Mytilus edulis: one gene and its partners. Each later gene encodes a partner of the first gene's protein in a complex. Links are inferred from orthologs where the notes say so. Each region holds a gene or a part of one and is shown in the gene's direction. Other genes may lie near its edges. The genes, in order: dnaJ homolog subfamily B member 13-like, ropporin-1-like protein and nucleoside diphosphate kinase homolog 5-like.

Region 1 (7,280 bases):
TTATCTCCGTTTCCAGTATTAGCCAAGGCATCAGTTGTACTTTTTGTCAAATCTATTCCCTGTAATAAAATTTTGACAGATGAATTATTTTATTACATTTAAACTTTTCTTGCCCTGATGATGGCAATTATTCAAACAATGTTTGGATAAGAATTTAAAAAGAAGAAAATAAAACTATGCCAGAAACAGCATGATAAGACAGGGTCAACAAGATATACCACCTGCAGCAGTCTGCCAGAAAATGATGAGGCAAAAGCATCCACAAAACTTTGTATGGTAAGGTTCAATTATGGTTGTTAAATAAAATGAAGAAAATATTCCAACCAAATAATATATATTTCCTATAAAAGATTGAAACCAAATATCTTTTAATTCCATTAATTATTAATACATTTATTTTTTTTATAAAATGAATGGTACTTTTGTTCCCGTAACATTCAACCGAATCTTGAGATAATTTGGAATGATTATTATTTTCTTCTATCTGACTATGCTAACCATTTCCTGAGCCACAGCATCTTCATCTAGTACAGCTACAAAGTTAACAGATTCTGGACTGTTATTGTAAAGTAATGCACACTGTGTTCTGTCACATCCATAATAGGTACTACCAAACTGTACACAATCTACTGGTGCCCCAGTATCTACAGATAAAACTTCTAGAGCTCTGTCAACTAATCTTCCCTTTATTGTCAATTGTTTAGGTTCTCTTCCTTCTAGTTTAACTCTGGAAAAATGTATTAAAATATAAAAAAAATGTCAGTTTATTTAGAAAAAAAAGCATTTATAATTGCAAATCACTAATAGACATAAAAAAGAGTTTAATAATTGAGATCTAAAACCATGCTGTAACAGATTATACTCATAGATATTTATAAGAAAATTAGAGGGTCTATCAGATCAATCATTGGCATGTCAATTTTTGTCATATTCTGTCGTAAATCAAAAACATTTCAATATTATAACACTTACTGTTACATTGTACATATGTACACCACTTGTCTGTTTTATCTTTTTTGTTTTGGTGTGGGTTTTTTTTTTGTGATATTTTTTTTTTCTCAATTAGAATATTTTAGATATGGAGCATTTGTATTGAAATGAGGCAGCAACCTAATAATATTATACAAACATCCCTTTTCCCATACAGAAATAATTCCATTTATGACTTAAAAGATACTTACCTCACATGCTCTTCTAAGTTTCCAGGTTCTTTTGTTACATATTCAATCTGCAAAGCAAGAATAAGAAAGGATTCGAAAATATTGCTGACACACAAAACAATATTCAAATCATATCAAAGCATTAATGTATGGTATTTTTTCTATTTATCAAAAATATATTGTAGCTAAGAATTTAAGATATATTTTTATTAAAGTAGCCATTACACAACATTTGAACAATACATTAATGTATGTTACTTCTATTTGGAATTTTGCTGCCCTAGGTAATTATGGTAATTTTTAGAAAGTCACAAAGTACATCATCTGGAAATTTTTTTACTCTTGAAAGATACTTAAACCAGCAAAATTGAAACAAATCGTTGTATTTGACAGGTATGCTCCATATTGCATGGTTTGTAGTACATGTATTTTTATTCTTGATTCACATATTTACCTTTATCAACTGTACACTTTTAGGAGGTACATTGCCACTGGTGGGAACAATGGCTAAAGGTTTGTCTCCAGAATACTTCAGTTTAAATTCTCCAGCCTTAGATCCATGATTTGTTAATGCTATTTCTTTTGATATTGTTTTACTGCTAGCTACAAGACTTCCAAAGTCAACAACTTCTTCAATTTCTAGCATAGGCTGCATAGGATATCTATTATTAAATAAATAATCCAATATAGGTCAGGGCAATTAACAATTTTAAACTTAAATTACTGTGGATAATTCCTTTAAAATCAATTGATAATCTGATTTGATAGGAAAAAATGTGATTATTACTGTTAAGTGTGTTAATACATGTAGTCTCTGAACTTGATGCAAGTTCTTCGGTCTTTGTTTGAAGATTCCCCAGTTATTGTAAAGAGTAAATTAATGCTAATAATCCCCCTCCCCCCCCAAAAAAATAACCATTATATCTTTGGAAATTGTGTCTCTGTATTATGATAGACTGAATATCCTTTTTAGTACAAATTTAAATTATTATTTGTGTACAATGTAAAATAAATCCTAACATTAAAATATGAAACTAAGAACTTACGCTATTAATGGTATTTCAGCCACATCTCCATCAATAGTTACAACCAGTCTATCACGAATCTCTTTTGCTTCACTGGTTTCAAATTCAATAATAGCTGGGACACATAAGCCTGATGCCACTGGCTTTGTAGGGTTTTTTACTTTTAGATTGAAGAACTAAAAAAGTAAATATTTCTTGATAAAAAGAACAATTCAATTAATTTTTAACCTTCTATTTAATAGTTTAATATTAGAGAGTAGCAAAAAAAGTATTATAAGTAACATTATAATAGATGCTTCACGAATTTATCAATTTAAGGATCAAACAATGTAATAATGATTTAAATGAAGTTATGAAAACATCAAATTGATGTTTTCATAAAATGTATGTTTTTACTTATCATAACATAATATGAATAAATAAAGTCAGTCATGTCTGCACTTTCAACAAACAGTACAATAAAATATTATATTGTACCTATAAAATTCACTAAGCTTAAAATATTACTGACACAACTGGTGTTAAGTCACATGTGCCCCTCTTGCTTTATGCAGTTTTATATCTTGAATAATTTTAAATACATGTTTTTTTTCTGCATTTGAGTTTTGGAGGATTGTAAATAGACCTTACCCCTATTTGCATTCTGAAACACCTGACTTACGATTATATGAACTGTTGACATTGTGCAAAAAAAATCCCCCCCCCCCCCCCAAAAAAAATAAGAGAATTATGATTTTGACATCTATAGGAAATGTCTGGAACATGGAAAAATATACCCTTTCACAGTTGAACTAGTATATATTTGTTTAGGGGTCAGCTGAAGGATGCCTCCGGGTGCGGGAATTTCTCGGTGCATTAAAGACCTGTTGGTGACCTTCTGCTGTTGTCTGCTCTATTGTCGGGTTGTCTCTTTGGCACATTCCCCATTTCCATTCTCAATTTTATGTTGAATAGGGGGGATATTTTCATAATGGCCATTATGGAGATGCAATACTATGAAAAAAAATATGGGGAAACATCAAGGAAACAGAACAGTTGATTGAAAACTAGCATAGGATTTCCTCTTTCTCATACTTTCTTTTACAGTTACATCATGTACATGTAACATCTATTTCGAAAAAAATATGCCCCTCATACACAATCGCTATTTGTCCGTCATTACTGGATATCACACAGGTTCCCGTAAAAATTTGACGTCATAAAACAAAATATCTGAAGCCACAATGCAAAAGTGATTGTTGTATGCGTCAAAAGATCAAGCGGCTGGGTCAGCCGGGATTAGTGATAAGGTGTATTCGACATGTTCTTAGAATGCAATATATATGTCAAAACCATGAAGTGGCTTTATCATAAGTAGTCTTCATGGTGTCAAAATTGGATCTTAATTTCAGCTGAAATTTAAGGATAATACCTATTGAGTTTCTAAAAGTAAGAATCAATTTTCAAAATCAGGGAAAGATGATGCTTCATTTTTTTGGGGAATTCAGGATAAATTTTTCTAGAACTTAGAAGCTCTGACTTGCTAAAACTGGCTTGGCAATAACCAATGACGAAGACTTGGTTCAGGGTTTATATATTATAGTTTATAAATTAGCTGTTGAATATACTTATGTAAACAGACGACTTAAATCCTACTCACTTTAGATTTTGGTCCATAAAATCGTATGCTTTTACTTGATTTGCTTATGTTTTTCACAGTGATGTTCAGCTCATGAACTGTGTTGACATCTGTGTCAAAGAATTCCAATTGCGGTGGTGAAATTCGGACACCGAACGTGTCACCTTCCATGATGCTTTCGTTCAAAAATGTCGATTATCTTTTTAAAAACTTCAAACTATTACCGCCATATTGTTTGGGAAGGTTGCTCGGGGATTTTTCAAGCAAACAAAATAAAACCGCATTTTCGTAATTGAGTAAAATCTTTAAATTTGTTTTGTTCTATTAAAATTAAAACAATTATGTTTCTTTATGAAGCTATTATATTTTATCTGATGTATCGAATAATCAATTAAAACAAAATCTGACATTAATTCAGTACGAAAATACCGTCAAATAAACTAGCTATACATCGCATAGCAACCACGCCATCTTTAGTAAACGACCCGATCTTACAGTCGTTTCAAAACAAAAATAAACGATGGGAGTCGATTACTACAATATTTTGCAATTAACAAGAAGTGCAACAGATGCAGACATTAAGAAACAGTAAGGAATTGATGTTTTAAATTACAGGATCAAACATAATGTTCCAAATTCATAAGAACTCACTGATTTGTTATTTCACTTTCAATCAGTTTATGTTTGTTTTTTTTTAATTAGAGAATAGGTATCTACAACTATCCACTGAACATCCATTTTTAGTCTGTTCAGTCTTCCATTTGCCAAGTAAGTCTTATTATAGACATCAGCTGTGCCGGCATGCAATGATTATTTGCCTGGATATGGTACCTTCCATGTCCATGGCCCATTGGAATCAGTCATCTATTCTGGTATCATGCCTTTCACTGAAAAAGATATAAGGCCTGCCCGTATCCCTGGTCTTACAAAAGTTTTCGAGCATTTTCGTCATTCTGTATTGTAGGGTGATATAGAATTAATTTATGTTCTATAAGTTCATAATCTTGATTCCCATACAACTGAGGGATGGAAGTCACATGACAGATTCATCTGAAAAACGTATTCCTGAACTGGTTCAGGCCAGATGAAAAAAGTACAAATGAGTACCCCTTTTCTGGGGGTCTCATTGGGGGGTTCTGATCCCGGATCCCGCTTACTGTTTTGTCAGATTCCCGTATCCCGCTTATACTATGTACCTAAGCAATTCTCATTTTTTTGTAATTGCCCGTGTCCCACTAGACCTTAATTCCCGTTTTCACGGCACAATAATTTGACTTTCCCGTTTCACGCTTACAAAAAATCAGCAATCCCGCGTCATGCTTAGACCCACCTTTCTATATTTATTTTTCTTTATTATTTCCTATTCTAACATGACGTCCTTCAAATGCTTTGAGTACACACCTGTGGTTAAATATGAATTTATTGCCAGGGCTGTTCCGATTGTACTCCCATGTCATATGTTTTTTTATGAATGAGATACCAAACGTCATAGAAAGATGACGTATGAATATGTGCATTTTACGGAAAAATACATGCTTTCCAAAACAAAAATCATCACAACAAGGAAACGTAAACAAACAATGCTAAATGTGGTATAAGCCGATTTTTTTAAAACATCATTATGATAAGTAAATTATAATTTAAATTCACCCAAAGCTATCTAGATACGTTATTGTAAAAACTTTAAGCATGTCACTAATTGAGTTTGCTTCGTTCTTTTACGCCAATTTAATAGTGTGTTTATTTATGGGAAAGGCAAATATTTGTCTCCACCTAGAGCGCTTCGATCCAAAACAATAGCCGTATTTGTCTTATCGCTCAGGGTAAAATATTTGTCATTAAGGGCCAACCCGTGGTAATATCACGAAATATTCCATCCCCCATGAATTATTTCTTAATTATACTATACTTACTGTATATAATTTTGGTTGTATCTTATAAAATTACTCGTGTTGTGTGCACCTGCTCAGATTTAAAGTGTCTTTTTTTGCTTCAAATTTATTTTTGTACAAAAATTGTATCCTTTATATATTTAACTTTACTTATATTTTTATTTTTTACAGCTACAGAAAATTAGCTTTGAAATTTCATCCTGACAGAAATGATGGTGATCAAAATGCTCAAGACAAATTCAAACAATGTGCTGAGGCTTATGACATTTTAAGTGATCGTAAGTAGTAAAGTAAAGAAAAACTTATGTACATGTATTTGCATTTGATAAGGCCTCGACAATAAATCACCACAAAGCGTCAACTTAACAAAACTGCTATAAAGTGAGAGTTTTATTGAAATTTTCAGAAGTATATATATATAAGCTGTGGAACCAATTTCATGTTGTTTTTCGTGATATTTTTTTCATACTGATATAAAGAGTTGAATTGTAAATGTTTCTTTTTTTTTCAATCAACCTTTGACAGAATCCATCCGATAACAAGTTTAAACAAATTTTAGGTTAATGTTTTGCTGATTGGTAATAGTGAAATAGGGGAATTTTTTCTGTAGGGTGGTTGATGTTACCTCCGTGTTAGATAAGTTATCTTCTGACAGATATTTTACATTTTTTTAGTTTTCCTTAAATATTTTTAGAGTTGAAACATAAACCATTTTATCGTAATGTATGATCTTTGAGAGGAAGTGAGTTCTTTGTCCAGAAGACATTATGGAGAGGTGAATTTCAATTATAGTTTCAGTCATCAACACCCTTAAAGATGAACAAGTGTATATATTATAAGTTGACTAAAAGATGATCTTAAGCAGAGTTTTTCTGTGTTATATGATGCATGAAGTTTTTTAATACATGTAGTTTAATACATTAATCTTTCAAAATCCTATTTTTTCAGCAAGAAAGCGGGCAGTGTATGATCAGTTTGGAGAAGAAGGCCTAAAGAATGGTGTTCCTCATGGTAGTGGGGAGGCAGGTGCTTGGACCCAAGGTTACACATTCCATGGAAATTCAGAAAAAGTTTTCAGAGAATTCTTTGGTGGTGATAATCCATTTCAAGGTAGGATATAAAATAAAGGCATACAAAGATATAAAATAAAGGCATACAAAGATATAAAATAAAGGCATACACAGATATAAAATAAAGGCATACAAAGAAGGATAATACGATATCAGAGAAATTACCAAAATCTTTCCTTCTTCAAAGGCCTCTCGATCAGGTCCATTTGATTTGTGTCCAAAACAGAAAATTAAACAAACTTACTTATTGAAAATTGCCAATGTATCATTAACCATCCTGATAGACCATAACATGTCATAACAGACCATTAACCTGGTTAATAATATTAATATTAAATACCGATTTTTTTTATTACTTTTTGCAGAATTTTATGACAGAGTTGATGGAGATTTAAGCATGGGATTTGGTGGTTTACAAGGCAGAGGACATAAGAAACAAGATTCACCAATAGAAAGAGAACTTTTCTTGTCATTGGAAGAAGTATTTCATGGTTGCACCAAAAAGATGAAAATTT
Region 2 (7,232 bases), on another chromosome or scaffold:
CCTCGTCTATAGAGCTTAAATTCTTACTGTACTGGTCTTCTCCTGTGTTCTCTGCATCTGTGCTGTAGACATCTAAAAATAAAATAAGAAGAGTATCTATAAGCATTGTTTTTTAGTTTTTGTGAGGGATTATTTCTGTTTCAAGGGTGTCTTGTGCATCTTCTCTAGCCAATGGTTTCAAGCTGGTCCTCTAATCTTCACCTGTGGCTGGTTAAGATACAATTTGTGTATACAGCTTTGCACTAGCTATCGTGCAACCAATAGAAGTCATGCTTAATCAAGACTACATTATTCTTGACCAAATAATCTTCAGTTTGGATTTGAAAAAAATGTTGTATCAGTGTTACAAAATTTCATTTAAGAATTGAATGCTCTTTTTTGTAAATTTATTGGGGTGTAAAAGCGTTGACCGAAGTTCATTTTGTATGAAGCGCGGAAGCGCTTCATACTAAAAATGTGCCCACGGTTAACGCTTTTACAACCCTATAAAGTTACAAAAAAAAGCATTCAATACTTATAATTACATTTTTACCTATAGGATCGTGAAAACACGCCTTTCATCAAGTTTTTATTTCATTTACCTGTGCACTTTATTGTGGGACCTCGTGTCATCATGAATGAAAAGTTTTATTGTGTGATACAACTGCTTAAGAAATAACATGTGATGTACAGTTAGCCAATCAGAATAACGTATTATAGTGAAACATACATTTAATGTAATTATTAAGCAATAACCAGAAATGTATATGGGGCAATATGCGCAATTGTTTCTACATAGGCGGTAATGGTAACGTTTTCTTCTGTTGCTCAGCCCATATCATAAACTTGTATATGTATGATGGCTAAGTGTTTCGAAGCTGAGACATTTTTACATATGTGGTTAAATTTTCGGGGTACGAAGTGTGATTCATTTTTCCGTAAATTAGCAAACCCCGAGTATCCTTTTGCGATGTGGCTCCTCATGGTAAAAAATCCCATTTTTGACACAATAAGTTCTTTAACAATTTAATACTTTGAACACATTTAATGGCTCCATAGTTTTTACACATTTATTCTGTGTTCCCTTACTTTCTAAATTAACACAAATGGTTCAGCTCAGACATTTGTTTATCATTAGAAATGTGTCAAATATCACTACACAGAGATTTTTTGTTTACACGTGACTTTTGAGTTCCTCATTTCAAGGCGCATTAGGGATATTGTCCCATATGCTAACTTTCCAACATTTTCAATGAGTTGAGATTAGAAATTAGAATTAATATTGTCATTACATAGTCATGATAGTGTCTAGCTAGTGTTTCAGGGGTAAAGACTTGTACATGGCACAATTTGTAAGTGGCAGTTGTTTATATAATATGTCACTATTCACATATGATCAACATAAAGGCGTTTTTTAATTGGATACAGTCATATATATGTGATTGTAACCAAAATAAATTGATTGTTATGATTGTCATGGATCAGAACTTCTTCTTAATATAATTATAAATAATCTGACAAAGGCAAAAGGAGAGGAAGCAGATTGTCAGCCTTGGCTTTCAAAGATGTGTCTATGTATTAAGGTATTTTCTTGACCCAAAAAAAGATTGATAAAGTATCTAAAAGGTTATACTGGTTTTTTTTTTTGTAAAAAGAAAAATATTCTAACTCTTAACTTTGAAATGAAAAATATTGTGATGAGATAGACTTTGCCCTTGGCCAGTTTCAAGTTTGTGCTTGATTGATATGAACATCTTTTCATTTCTATATATAAAGATTGCTAGATATCTAAAATTTTGATTGTTGCTCGCTTTATTTTGTTGTGTTTTATGTGTGCATGCTACAGATCAGAAGGATAAGAACAATGGCTCAAAAAAATTTCAGTGTCTCTTCAAAAAATTAAATATTTCATCCGCTATATTATTTAACCATTTGCTTTCAACAAATGAGGCCTAGCTTAGGTGGGTGGATTTTATGATTTACCAGCTGACTGCATCATATGTACTCTTTCTGATGCTTATTGCTATTTGTTCAACAAAATTGGACATCACAAAGGTTCGCATATATATATTTTTGACTTCACAGTAAAAATCACATGATGCCAATATGGAAAAGCGATTGTTCAGTGTTTTACGGGAAACTGATGTCAAAAGTTCAAGAGTTGCATGCAGATTCTCTAGTCAATAAGCAGAGATTTCCAGAGAGTTATAAGGCCATGGAAAAATGATTGATGGTTTCCCCTAACCCGACCGGGTCATTTATTTTTTTGCAGAGACAACTTAAAGTGTTGAAAATATGCAAAAGCCTGCCTACCGGGTCTTTAAAATTTTCCCATGTTTAAAAGGGGAAACCAACAATTAATTTTCCATGGCCTAAAGGTGTATTGTAGGAGTAGGGATCTCCTGTAGTTCGTGATCGCAATACTGGTATACTAGTATTGTGCACAATACTGGTACATGTATACAAATTTTGTACCAGTATTGTATTCCAGTATTGTACTCTTATTGTAGCACTAGTTTTTGAGTATTTGTACCAGTAGATATATCTGCTACAAATTGTACAAAATGTTGTATTGCCCAAATGGTACTAAACCATTGCTTTTTAAACTACCCTTAACATTCAAGTAGACAAACTTGTTATTTTGATTATAATCAGGTTCCCCTATTAAGCAAATTTTTATGTTTAATGGATATTGATATCTTTTATCTTGTTTATTGTGAAAATAAAGACCAACAAATGCATATGATCATATACAATGTCATGTATTAAAATATCTGTAAAAAATATAAATTCTAATGCAATAACGTTTGTAATGTTCATTTTGATTGGATAACGTCACTTTCTTACATGGCATCAATTGACAATTGATGCTATGGGACGTACGCACAAGCGCAGACGGCATATGACAGATTTTAAATACATGTTTTAACGTTATTTTCTGTCAGTTTCATTAGAATGGAGATAACAATATTGTATTTTAAGCTCCGACGGCATCAATTTGGGATTTGATGGTCGCAAATACCCTTTTACTGTCTCCGCTAACGTGTCACCAGTAAACTTAATTTGCGACCATCAAATCCCCAATTGATGCCGTCGGAGCTTAAAATACAATACAGTTATCTCCTATTAAAATGGCATACATTTCCTTTCTCAATTTTATGTAAATCTGAATTTACAGTGTTATCATGGTTATAGTGTAATAGTTTGTTTGAATTTATTTAACATTAACTCAGATAATAATAAGCTTTTATTTTATTTTATCTAAATTGAATTAAATAAAATATAGAAATGTGATAAAATTATTAGCAATTATTTATATAATTAACAATTGTTTGAAAAATATGAGTTAATTACAGTAATATTTTGTTTATTTAGTTATTATTTTAACTGGCCATGGTTGATAATTGATTTCACAATTATCCTCTATAATCTTTTTGAGTTCATTTAATCTCCCTTTGATCTTGCTTAAAAAAAACCACAGAAGAAGAAGCTTAAAATTCAGTTTTCATTATACACCTTAAAGTATAGTCAACAATACAACTACAATACTGGTATATCAGTAATGTACCAGTATTGCTGGTTTTTTTTTAAAGTTACAATACTGGTACAAAATTTATATACCAGTATTGTGGACAATACTGGTATACCAGTATTGCGATCACCAACTACAGGAGATTCGTAGTATATTTTACTTATGTAATCAGACATCATGACGAAGACTGAAGATGTCTTGAAAGACTTATTTAATTTTCTGGTGATGCCTTCCTGAATTCTATGCCAAATTAAAATAAGTTTTCTTATCTTCTGATGCACTGTTTTGTGTGTGTTTTTTTTTTTTATATAGTTTTCATATAGTATGAGTGTCCCCAGAGCTTATGTTTGTATTTTAAATCAAGGATTTGAACTTGGTTAAATCAAAATGAAGTTTTTCTTATTCTAATATTTTCCATCAAACACGGATTCATGACATGAGTGATGGCTGAAACAGTCACACTCAAAGACACAACCTTGGCCTCATCAAAACTATACCTTTGTATGTCGTTGTCTGTTCTTTAGAAAGAAGTTACTTGCACCTAAAGATAATTTCTGAACTCAATAAATAGCGCAGACGACCAGCATCCACCCTCCTTTTTCAATCGACCGTGTAGCAGACGACAAAAATTCGCGGGTTCGCGTGCTTTTAAATGATTGAAGAAGCAAGGCAAATTGTCAATATCTTAAGCGCATTGGAGACACCGATCCTTCAACCGGAAGAAATCTTTCGAGCAATCGTTGCTATCACAACATTTGAATACATCCGGTAAGTTAGTGTGTGTTTATTTCAAGTTCTTCAGGTCTCAAGATCTCAAAAGGTAAAAAGCCCTATACTTACTTATTGTACAAAAAACATTGAATTTGATTGTTGCCATAACGAAAAGCTTTCATTTAGTTCCGAGACAAAATACGACCATTGTTATCTGCAGTCTTCACTTACTTCAAGCATTTCACTTTTTCAGAGAATTTATTTTATTATTTATAGTTTTGACGATTTGCGTACGTAAATCTCATAAGATTGATTAAAGAAACAACACATTTAGTTTACATGATATGGTAACTGATCAATACACCTTATCGCTATTTGTCTGCCATTACTGGATATCACACAGGTTCCCGTAAATTTTTGACAAAAACTAAATATCTGACGCCACAATGGAAAAGTGATTGTTGTATGCTCCAAAAGTTCAAGCGGCCGGGTCAGCCGTGATTAGCGATATGGTGTATAAATTTTCCATGCAAAACACCATTTTGGGACATAAAAAATATCTAAAAGTGCTCTAAGTTGAGTCTAACGCCACTGGCACTGACACTTTACATGTAAATGTAAATGTAGAATATTACCATATTAACCTTTCAGTACTTATACATCTGCATTGTATGAAAATTCATCAACACATGTCTTTGCTAGTTGATGACTATTCCGAGATAAATCTGACGTCCAACGGCTGTTTTGCCAGACAAGCTGGGGCCGTGTAACGTCAGAGCTCGTCCCATATCAAAAAGTGGATATTTGCCCATCCAAAATATATGCGCTGCTTCGTCGCTTCTGGTGCCAACTAACAGCCTTAGATTTTCATGTGACCATGAGAAAAAAGTGATGATTTATACAAATGACAATAATCTAACTCCTTGTACATTTACGATGCAAGTAATCTAAATGTCTGAGAGCTTCAGATTGTTAACGTGGTTGCACTAAATGCTTCATACCAATCTCCTGTAAAGGAGGTGAAAAATAGTGGTTGGCTACTAAATGTTAAACATCGATCTCCTATAAAGGAGGTGAAAAAGTATAGATATTTGCATATTTGAGTCTTGAGGTCGAGAAATCTCTCGTAACTCGACCTCCTTTTGAAAATAAAAGTTAAAGAAAATCACAGGTTGGGGATTTTTTTCCCCAAATGTTATACATGTAATGTCTTATAATACTTCTCCTATTTGGGATAATTTACCGCAAGTAGGACGTATACATTTATTTATTGCAATGCGCAAATTTCATAAAAGGCAACAATGGAATTTTTTCTTGAAATTTTGGTTAGCAACTTAATTTTTACTGGAACTTTTGTCATGTTCAGTTGTTGCGGACAAATAGCAATAAAGTATATTGATAATTTTAATTTTGATATAATGCTTAGGACATTGTTTTTACATTTTATCTCTATTTGAAAATCTGTGCAGCTTGACTTACAATCACATTTTCAAAACTGGTGAGTCCACAGATGCATCAAGATTGAAATATTTTGTATAAACTGAACACAGTTAAACACAAATATCATCATTTTATAGCAAAAGTTTAAAAGTGATCTGAATTTGATTTCATTTCATTGCTCTGTTAGGAAATGGAGACTCAAATATTACTTTATATTGCAATAAAATATTTTCTTCTTGCTGTTGGACTCATCATACCTAAAAATGATGAGTCCCTGGACTCGCCTTCAAAAATCCTTAGCGAGAACCCTGACTTTTCCATTGTGGCGTCAGATATTTTCTATTATCATATGACATCAAAATTTTACGGGAACTGCTGTGATGTCCAGTAATGCAAATAGCAATAAGGTGTACTGTTTCCTCTTAGATGTATATTGGTTATTTTTATTATTGCCTATTGGGTTGCTGTTGCATTGTATCTCCTTATATCCTGCTGGTTATGAAGTCCTTTTAAATTAGAAAAACAAACTTTTAAAAACAGTTGTTGGCATGACACGGGTTATGTTCTTCTCATATATGTTATGATGGTATGATACTAAACCCCCAACGGGAAGGATTGTGCCTGATGTTCATATGATGAAATCATAATCTTTCAGTCAGTTTAATTGAAGTCTGGAGCTGGCATGTCAGTTAACTGCAAGTAGTCTGTTGTTATTTATGTATTATTGTCATTTTGTTTATTTTCTTTGGTTACATCTTCTGACATCAGACTCGGATTTCTCTTGAACTGAATTTTAATGTGCGTATTGTTATGCGTTTACTTTACTACATTGGTTAGAGGTATAGGGGAGGGTTGAGATCTCACAAACATGTTTAACCCCGCCGCATTTTTGCGCCTGTCCCAAGTCAGGAGCCTCTGGCCTTTGTTAGTCTTGTATTATTTTAATTTTAGTTTCTTGTGTACAATTTGGAAATTAGTATGGCGTTCATTATCACTGGACTAGTATATATTTGTTATGGGGCCAGCTGAAGGACGCCTCCGGTGCGGGAATTTCTCCCTACATTGAAGACCTGTTGGTGACCCTCTGCTGTTGTTTTTTATTTGGTCGGGTTGTTGTCTCTTTGACACATTCCCCATTTCCATTCTCAATTTTATTTTTAAAAAATCCTTTTAATTTTTAGGAGAATCCTAATTCCAAAATGCCTACCAATCCAGATGAGCCATACTACTGCTCTCAGCAGATTAACATTCCTCCTCAGCTACCAGACATACTCAAACAGTTTACAAAAGCTGCAATCAGAACACAGCCAAAAGATGTTTTAGCATGGTCTGCTGCGTAAGTACACTTTTAGTTGTCTAATTAAACTATAAATATTGAGATGATTTCATTAGGAATTTAAAATAAAAAATATCTTCTTTTTAATTTAGGGAAACTGAAATTTTAATTTTGGGTTGTGGGAGAGGGGGTAGTACAATTTGTCTAACTAAAGAAACCTATTTAAAAAAGATTTGGTGGTATTTTTTTTTTTATCTTTTTGTCTTTAGAAAAATTATCTATAGAGGTTGTAAT
Region 3 (7,310 bases), on another chromosome or scaffold:
TTTTAAAAGACAAATTTAGAAATGATTTCAAAAATGAATAGAACACAAGCATCAAATCTTTTTATTACCATGGTAAAACATACATATTAGCATGTTTATCAATCCATTGCTGATTAGAAATTTAATGTTATTAATACATCATTGAATAATGGAGACAAATAAGTTCTTACCTACCATTAGACAGTTACATAGACTTTATACTCTGAATTTCAAAAAAATGTATTTGTTAGACACTTTTATAGATGTGAAGCATACCGGTACATCGACACCATTTGTGTATTGTAATGTAAATTTTGTTCTTTATATGAGTAATTTTAAATGATAAGCCAAAACAAAATAACTAAATTTATACATACTTTGCTGTTTCTTGCCACCAGGTGTCCAAGCCTAAAATAAAAACATGCATATGGTAGACTTTCACTTATAAAGATCAGATAAAAGGATTTACTATAGCTAAAAGACAACATTTATGTGTGACAGACTTTGGGTTAAATACAAAATAAATATGCAATGAGATTGAAATTACATTAACATTAACTAACAAATTTCAACAACAAATAATAGAACAAATACCCTTTTCAGCCTAAACTTCATTTCATTAATCAGTAGAAATTGTGAATCACATATGCATTGAACAAATTATTTTGCAAATTTGAAAGATTATTTCTATGTTAAAAAAGTAACATTTAATCATTTATTATCATTATCAATCCACTGTAGACTGTTAGAAATTACTTTATTGGTTGTTGGTTTTTTTGCGTGTTTAACATCACTTTCTGCACTGTTGCACTTTTTGATGACATTCAATTTATAATGTGGAGAAAGTTAGTGAGCCCAGAGAGAACCACCAATTTTCAGTAGGAAAACTGACAATCCTTGTCGATTTTAAGATTAAATCCAAGCACCCTATGCCACATGCTGGATTTAAACTTTATGACACATGGGGGATTTAACCTTAAAACAGGCAAGTACGGCAGCAGTTGTAACTATATAGACACGCCTTGTTGATTTATAAGTCGGTCAGAGCCTCCAAGTTGTTGCTACTCTTGCCTGAGTTGTTTGGTACAAGTCAATCAATCCCCAAACTGATGAGACCCAAACTTGATCTGACTAAAAGTAGATCCGTCCCACTTCAATCTGAACCCATGTCAATCCTTCCCCATAATAAGATAATGAATAATCTATGTTAACTTTATAGAATTTGGTGACATATTGGAATCAGGATAAATGGAATTTGTAAAAAGTTTTAAGTATCAATGACAGCAGGTGAGTGATGTATGCCCAATTTGAATAACTATTTAAAATAGATAAGAAAACAAGTGTAATAGATACTATTTATAATGCAAGGAAAATAAGTGTAATAGATACTGTTTATAATGCAGTATCAGCTTATTAATATGAAGTTATTTTCCATGATAACTTTGAATATCCGCAGGAATTTTATTCTATGAAATCATTATAATGCAGCATTCACACAGTATTGATTATGTCTCCTGTTTGAGATAAGACAACGATCAGACAAGAAAAGATACAAAGTAAGATTACTTTCCTTGATCAATCATTGTCAGAATGCAGTGTACTTTTGTTACTGGTTCCTGCTGATCCAGTAAGGTGACGGTCAGGAGAGATCAGGTATGATCAGGAGTGGTCGGCCAAGCACATTGACAGTTATGTGTGTCACATATGATTCCCGGAGATTCAGCCAATTTTGTCAAGAAGGATTACAATTATGACTATGCCATGACAGATAATCTGCAGTTTCGGATCAAAAAATTGAAAAATCAATGATTTGCATTGCTGCTTTTTCCGTTTGAATTTAGATTGCAACCTCATCTTGCCAAATGTGAACAATCTTTTCTGAAATATTTTTTTATTCGGGCCGGATTAACTTTAAATATGGTGACAGAATGTCGTGGACCGGCAGCCTGGGATGGATCGTCATGATCATGATGAAAGCGAGTTGCTCCATAATTGTAGCAGTGGATTAGATGTTATGGGTACACGACAACTCGTACTTTCGGCAAGTCGTACTCAACCAACTCGTACCCTATTTTTGCCAACTCGTAACCATGTTTTATTTGATATTATTTATCAAGTTTATATGCATAGTTATTGTAACTTTCTTTCGTATATCATTATATAGCAAAATACAAATAAAAAAACAACTTTCATTGTTAATAAAATTCAATCATAATTGTTTTAAATAAGCTTATAAAATGCTAATCGTTATAATCATTAGTATTCCTTATAATTGATTGTTTGAAATTGTTTGCACGACAATTTATTTGATATGCACATTAAAATAATTATGAGTACACAATATGCTAATCAGTGGTCATTAGTGGATAACATACCTACAAAAATAGAATGGATTTGTTAAAAGTAGAATAAACAGAGAGAAGTAAATGAAAACAAAAAATCGGTATAAGTGCGGCACTATGATCATCAAAGGCCGTTGAGTTATACTTAAACAATCACCATCCTCACCGAAAAGAAAATGCATGGCTTAAACGTTGTAAAAACCAAGCTTAGAGAAAAAATATATAAACTATGGTGAAATGTATGATCATCTTCAATTGCAATCATGGTTCGTCCACATTGTAATGTATGCAAGACGATATATAAATTGTGTATCTCAATAATATTTTCCCCTAATCCTGTTATTTGGTCCATGTTTGGGGCCAATAAGAGTATATATTTCAAAAAGCTGTATTTGTAGGACCCTTATTACTATTATTAATAGCAACAAAGCCTTGTAAAAATGTCTTACAATGTGTGTGTAAATAATAGTGATACTAGTGGGTTTTTTTAATACGCCTCTCGTAATTCTTCTAAATATTGGCTTAATTTTTATTTTAACTTTTATCATAATTGAGGTCAATACGTATATAAATGATAGTAGTATTGTGATGAAATATACATTTTAAAATATAGTGCAAACGTACATGCAGAAAGATTAGATCAGGTGTGAAGTTGTTTTGATAACGGTTAAATAATTAATGGCACGTTTCGTGTGTGAATAAGGGCCGATTAACTGGTAATCGACATACTTCAGGTGTGAAGCAATGATCAATCAATTAATCACCGGCACGCGAACTGCAATAAATAATTTGTGTATTAAGGTTTATGTTTAAAGGCTGTGGATTTTCTATAAAAATCTTGATTTATTTGCCACAAAGTCCTTTTTTTTTTTGAAGATCTCGTCTGATTGCTTATGAGACAACTCTTCACTAGAGACCAAAATGACACAGAAATGAACAACTATAGGTAATCGTACAGCCTTCAGCCATGAGCAAAACCCACCCATACCTCATAGTCAGCTATAATGACCAGTAAAACAATTCAAACGGAAAACGAACTGACTGCCATGCTTATTTAAAAAAAAAAAAAAAAAAAAAGTGTTAACACATCAACAAACAACGTGTTTATCGCAATATTCAGTAAAAATCTCTTCAAATATTCTAAGGATCGAGCACACCTTGACACTTGAGGATTTTTTTTCAGATACAAATCCTATCAGTAGATAAATCAGTAGGTGAATAATAAAATATGAAGCATTATAATGTTAAAAATATTTTCTACTAACACGAAAAAACTAAGACATGTTCAACGCAATGTTCAGTAAAAAATATCCTTTTCATATTCTATGGATCTACCTCAGGGTGCACTGGGATACTTCAGGGAGTTAAAATATCCATATCTACTGATATAAACGTAGAAAACTTATATTATAATGCTAAAAAAATATTGGGTACGACTTAGAAGAAGTACGAGTTGGTAGAAGTACGAGTTGCCGAAAGTACGAGTTGGCTGAGTACGAGTTGCCGAAAGTACGAGTTGACATGTATCCGATGTTATCATGTATTAAACTCTGATACCAACTATTTAGCATTAGCAACACAAAATGCATATCACAATCGGGAATACATGAGCAATAAATGAGAAATTCTTATTATACTGTTTGGACATGTCATGTGTGTGCATGCAACACTTTTTGTTCTTTTGCTTTGAAGTTGAAATTTCTGAGTTTTAATGCAAAATTTACATTAGCCATGATGTATTTCAATATTCCAATCAACAGAAATGTATCTATAGATGTGCAGCTTTAAACATTTCGTTTATATCTTTCAAACAAAATCATTTTCTTGTAGACATTATCTGCTTCCTTTAGTTTACGTTTATTGTAACATTGGGGAATACGGCTGTTGGTTATTTTAAACGAGGAACCAGTCAGTTCTTTGAAATCTCGTACGGTGCACCGTACGTGAAAATGCGAGATCATAATATATTTCTTAGCAACAGGACGCCATAATATTTTACAAGGGACAAAATGACAGGAGAGAACGAAACAGTTACAATGGATCCACCACATGTTTATGTGGAACGGACATTAGCAATTATCAAACCAGATGCAGTTAATAAAGCAGAAGAAATTGAAGATATTATTTTGAGATCTGGATTTTCGATTTTACAGGTAATTTAAGAAATAAGAAAACATGCTTTCCTATTCCTCATCAATCATCTTGTATACAGCAAAAGCACATCGAATTTTGATTACCAAGTCATTACTTAGTCTCATGTTTCTGTATATGAGGAAGGCGCCATCTTAAATGCAAGCTTACCAAGTCGTTATGTACCTACGGCCTATACATATTTTTTGCCGTAAGTAGAAAGTTTACATAGGATTAAACGCTTTTTCAAAGGAATTTATTGGTATATAAACTCTACCAGTGACTTGGTCCAGTTTATACACCAATAAATTCCTTTAAAAAGGCGTTTAATCCTTATAATTCTTTAAAATTGGAGCTAAGGAATATATTTTTCAACACTCGTAACCTCTATCACACGTAAATTGTATATTTTTTGTCATTGAATAGGCATGGCGCATGAATATATTTGTTGGTTAATGCAAAAATATGTACTCATTTAAATTTGCTATCTGATAAAAAATAAACCACAAAGACTCGAGTTATCATTCAAACAAATGTTTTTGTGTTTATTATTTATTTTAATGAGTACGTGCAGTGAAAATAAATTTTGTTCAAGTCGATGTTATTATTGCCGCCATCTTGTTTACATTGGTTACAAAAAGAAGTTCGGCCAACGTTGCCTATCGAAAAATAAACAACATCAAGATCAACTACCGGAAGTCATCTCCACCAATCATATCAACGTATTCACTAATATGCAAATCATATAATGTAAGAATTATGATGAAATATTTGGAGTCTGTATCCACCTTATTGATATTAAAAGTTCTGTCCCGCTTGTCCCTTGAATCTGCTTCTCTTGAACTTTTGACGTCATACAACAATTACTTTCCATTGTGGCGTCAGAAATTTTCTATTATGACATAAAAAAAATTACAAGAACTTTTATGGCATACAGTAATGGTAGACAAATAGCGATAAGGTGTATTTTTATCTGCTGAAAATAATTTTATTAACGATTAATGAGTCCAAATCATCATGATGTCTTGAAAGGCTATTAAACCTTTTGCTTTGACACACTAGCTATAGAGACTGTAAGGTGTCAAAGCAAAAAAATATAGCCTCTCAAGACATCATAATTATTGTGACAATTGATTCATCTTATTTACAATGCTTACATTCATTATCTTGTGCCATTTTCATATCCATTTTTGCTTCTTTTCAAATATTACAAAATTTAAAACAATAAGACGTTTGTTTAATTTCAAAACAACAATGTACAAATACATGTACAATTCATAACTTTATCAAATTGTTGATTTCCATGAAGAGGTGGAGGATTTTTTTCATCAATAATAGGACAATATTTAAATTTGTATTGAAACCAATGCTTTCTGTTTGTTAAATAATTATTTTATGTTAATGTCTAATTTAGCTGGGTGTTCATATTGTATTCCCATTTTCCTTTAAGGGTTCTTACTAAGGATTTTATTACAGGAGTCCACTGGGAAATCATAATGTTTTGCAATGGCTTGTCAAGCAGTGGGAGGAAGCAATTTTATTGATAAACAATATAATTTCAGTCCCCATGACAAAATGGAGCAAGGAAATTACACAAAATATAAATTATTTTTGAACTTATGTTTTAAAATGATGATACATTTGCTCATTTATAATTTTGTTTCAAATTATAATCCTGAACATGTTACATTGATTATATAATAATATATGTGCTAATTTAATTGCAGAAGAGAAGGGTCCATTTAACACCTGAACAAGCTAGTGATTTTTATGCTGAACATTTTGGAAAATTTGCATTTACAAGTCTGGTAGCTTACATGAGCAGTGGTCCAATGATAGCACTAGTTCTAGCGCGTGATCAGGCTATATCATATTGGAAAGAATTAATAGGACCGACAAATTCTGTAAAAGCAAAACAGACACACCCTGACTGGTATGCATATTAAAATGTTTAAAGAAAATCACAATTGTCATTCTCATATGAAGTTGACATAGTCGAGCTATCTCTCTTTTATTTGTAGTTTGGTCATGGAAACTGTTTTTTATGTGTGAAATGAAATTCAATGGTTTAAAAATAGCAACAAAAGAATATTCTACAAATGTAGTACATATATTGAAGTCATGAAGTGATACATGTTTAACAAATCATATTATGTTAATAAATACTATATCAAATATTGAAAGTTATGTAAGAAATCTGATCTGTTAAAAGGCTTTTAGTCCAATATAAAACCAAATGCTAATACTTGATTTACACCACCTTTGAATTTTAGTTTGAGAGCTATATATGGAGCAGATGATCAGAAAAATGCATTACATGGCAGTGACACTTTTTCAGCGGCAGAGAGGGAAATAAGATTCTTTTTTGCAGACAGTAAGTTGCATGAATACTGTATATCACTTTTTTTAGACACAAGATTATCAACTTCTCTATTTAAGTACAAAATGTAGTCAACATATAGACTAGGGGAAATTATATTTCTGGCCTCAGTTTGATAGTTATAATCATTTACCTACCTTCAATATATGTACAAATGTGCTATATTTACTTAATTTAGAGGGCAACATGACATCTAAAAACCATTTGCTTTGTCCTGAAATAATCAGTTCCCTGAATGTTATTCAAGTCATTTCCAATTAAGTTAATGTTTCAGGTTAAAAAACATGTACATGTTGTACAGGACTGAGGAATGATGATGTCTTTCATAAGATGTAATTAAAATAACATGCAAACTATCTTTCCCATTTTACCATATACACAAAGCCTTTGACAAACTAAGATATATTTTAAATAAGAATACCTTATACATGTATACCTTTATTGTGATATTTTATAGCTAAAATCAGTTAACATGTACA

The links.
Region 2: dnaJ homolog subfamily B member 13-like (region 1) and ropporin-1-like protein share a complex: the UniProt entries of both Homo sapiens proteins name them as parts of the axonemal radial spoke complex. The link is inferred for Mytilus edulis from reciprocal best matches to the Homo sapiens genes DNAJB13 and ROPN1L.
Region 3: the proteins of dnaJ homolog subfamily B member 13-like (region 1) and nucleoside diphosphate kinase homolog 5-like are in contact, whole or in part, in a cryo-EM structure (PDB 8WZB), measured with the Mus musculus proteins. The link is inferred for Mytilus edulis from reciprocal best matches to the Homo sapiens genes DNAJB13 and NME5. Residues at the interface, in NP_705755.2 of Mus musculus: Thr156, Lys157, Lys158, Thr181, Ile182, Asp183, Arg185, Trp188, Arg189, Gly191, Thr192, Arg193, Ile194, Thr195, Phe196, Glu197, Pro281; in NP_542368.2 of Mus musculus: Glu52, His53, Asn56, Met193, Lys199, Pro200, Lys201, Leu202, Cys203, His204, Phe205.

The regions. Positions count from the first base shown.
Region 1 is NC_092353.1:43,375,755-43,383,034, forward strand, and holds the start of dnaJ homolog subfamily B member 13-like, read left to right. Parts: upstream 1-4,238; 5' UTR 4,239-4,323; coding exon 4,324-4,391; intron 4,392-5,866; coding exon 5,867-5,973; intron 5,974-6,643; coding exon 6,644-6,805; intron 6,806-7,130; coding exon 7,131-7,280. Other genes in the region: cilia- and flagella-associated protein 47-like, read right to left, coding at 1-59, 499-727, 1,182-1,228, 1,615-1,822, 2,207-2,361, 3,825-3,974. UniProt on the Homo sapiens protein: Functions as part of axonemal radial spoke complexes that play an important part in the motility of sperm and cilia.
Region 2 is NC_092350.1:52,033,093-52,040,324, reverse strand, and holds the start of ropporin-1-like protein, read left to right. Parts: upstream 1-4,152; 5' UTR 4,153-4,279; exon of another isoform or gene 4,280-4,331; intron 4,332-6,843; 5' UTR 6,844-6,861; coding exon 6,862-6,998; intron 6,999-7,232. Other genes in the region: HORMA domain-containing protein 1-like, read right to left, coding at 28-72. UniProt on the Homo sapiens protein: Functions as part of axonemal radial spoke complexes that play an important part in the motility of sperm and cilia. Important for male fertility.
Region 3 is NC_092352.1:35,868,698-35,876,007, forward strand, and holds the start of nucleoside diphosphate kinase homolog 5-like, read left to right. Parts: upstream 1-4,274; 5' UTR 4,275-4,330; coding exon 4,331-4,474; intron 4,475-6,178; coding exon 6,179-6,384; intron 6,385-6,724; coding exon 6,725-6,825; intron 6,826-7,310. Other genes in the region: fas-binding factor 1 homolog, read right to left, coding at 357-387, 4,046-4,054. UniProt on the Homo sapiens protein: Functions as part of axonemal radial spoke complexes that play an important part in the motility of sperm and cilia. Does not seem to have nucleoside diphosphate kinase (NDPK) activity.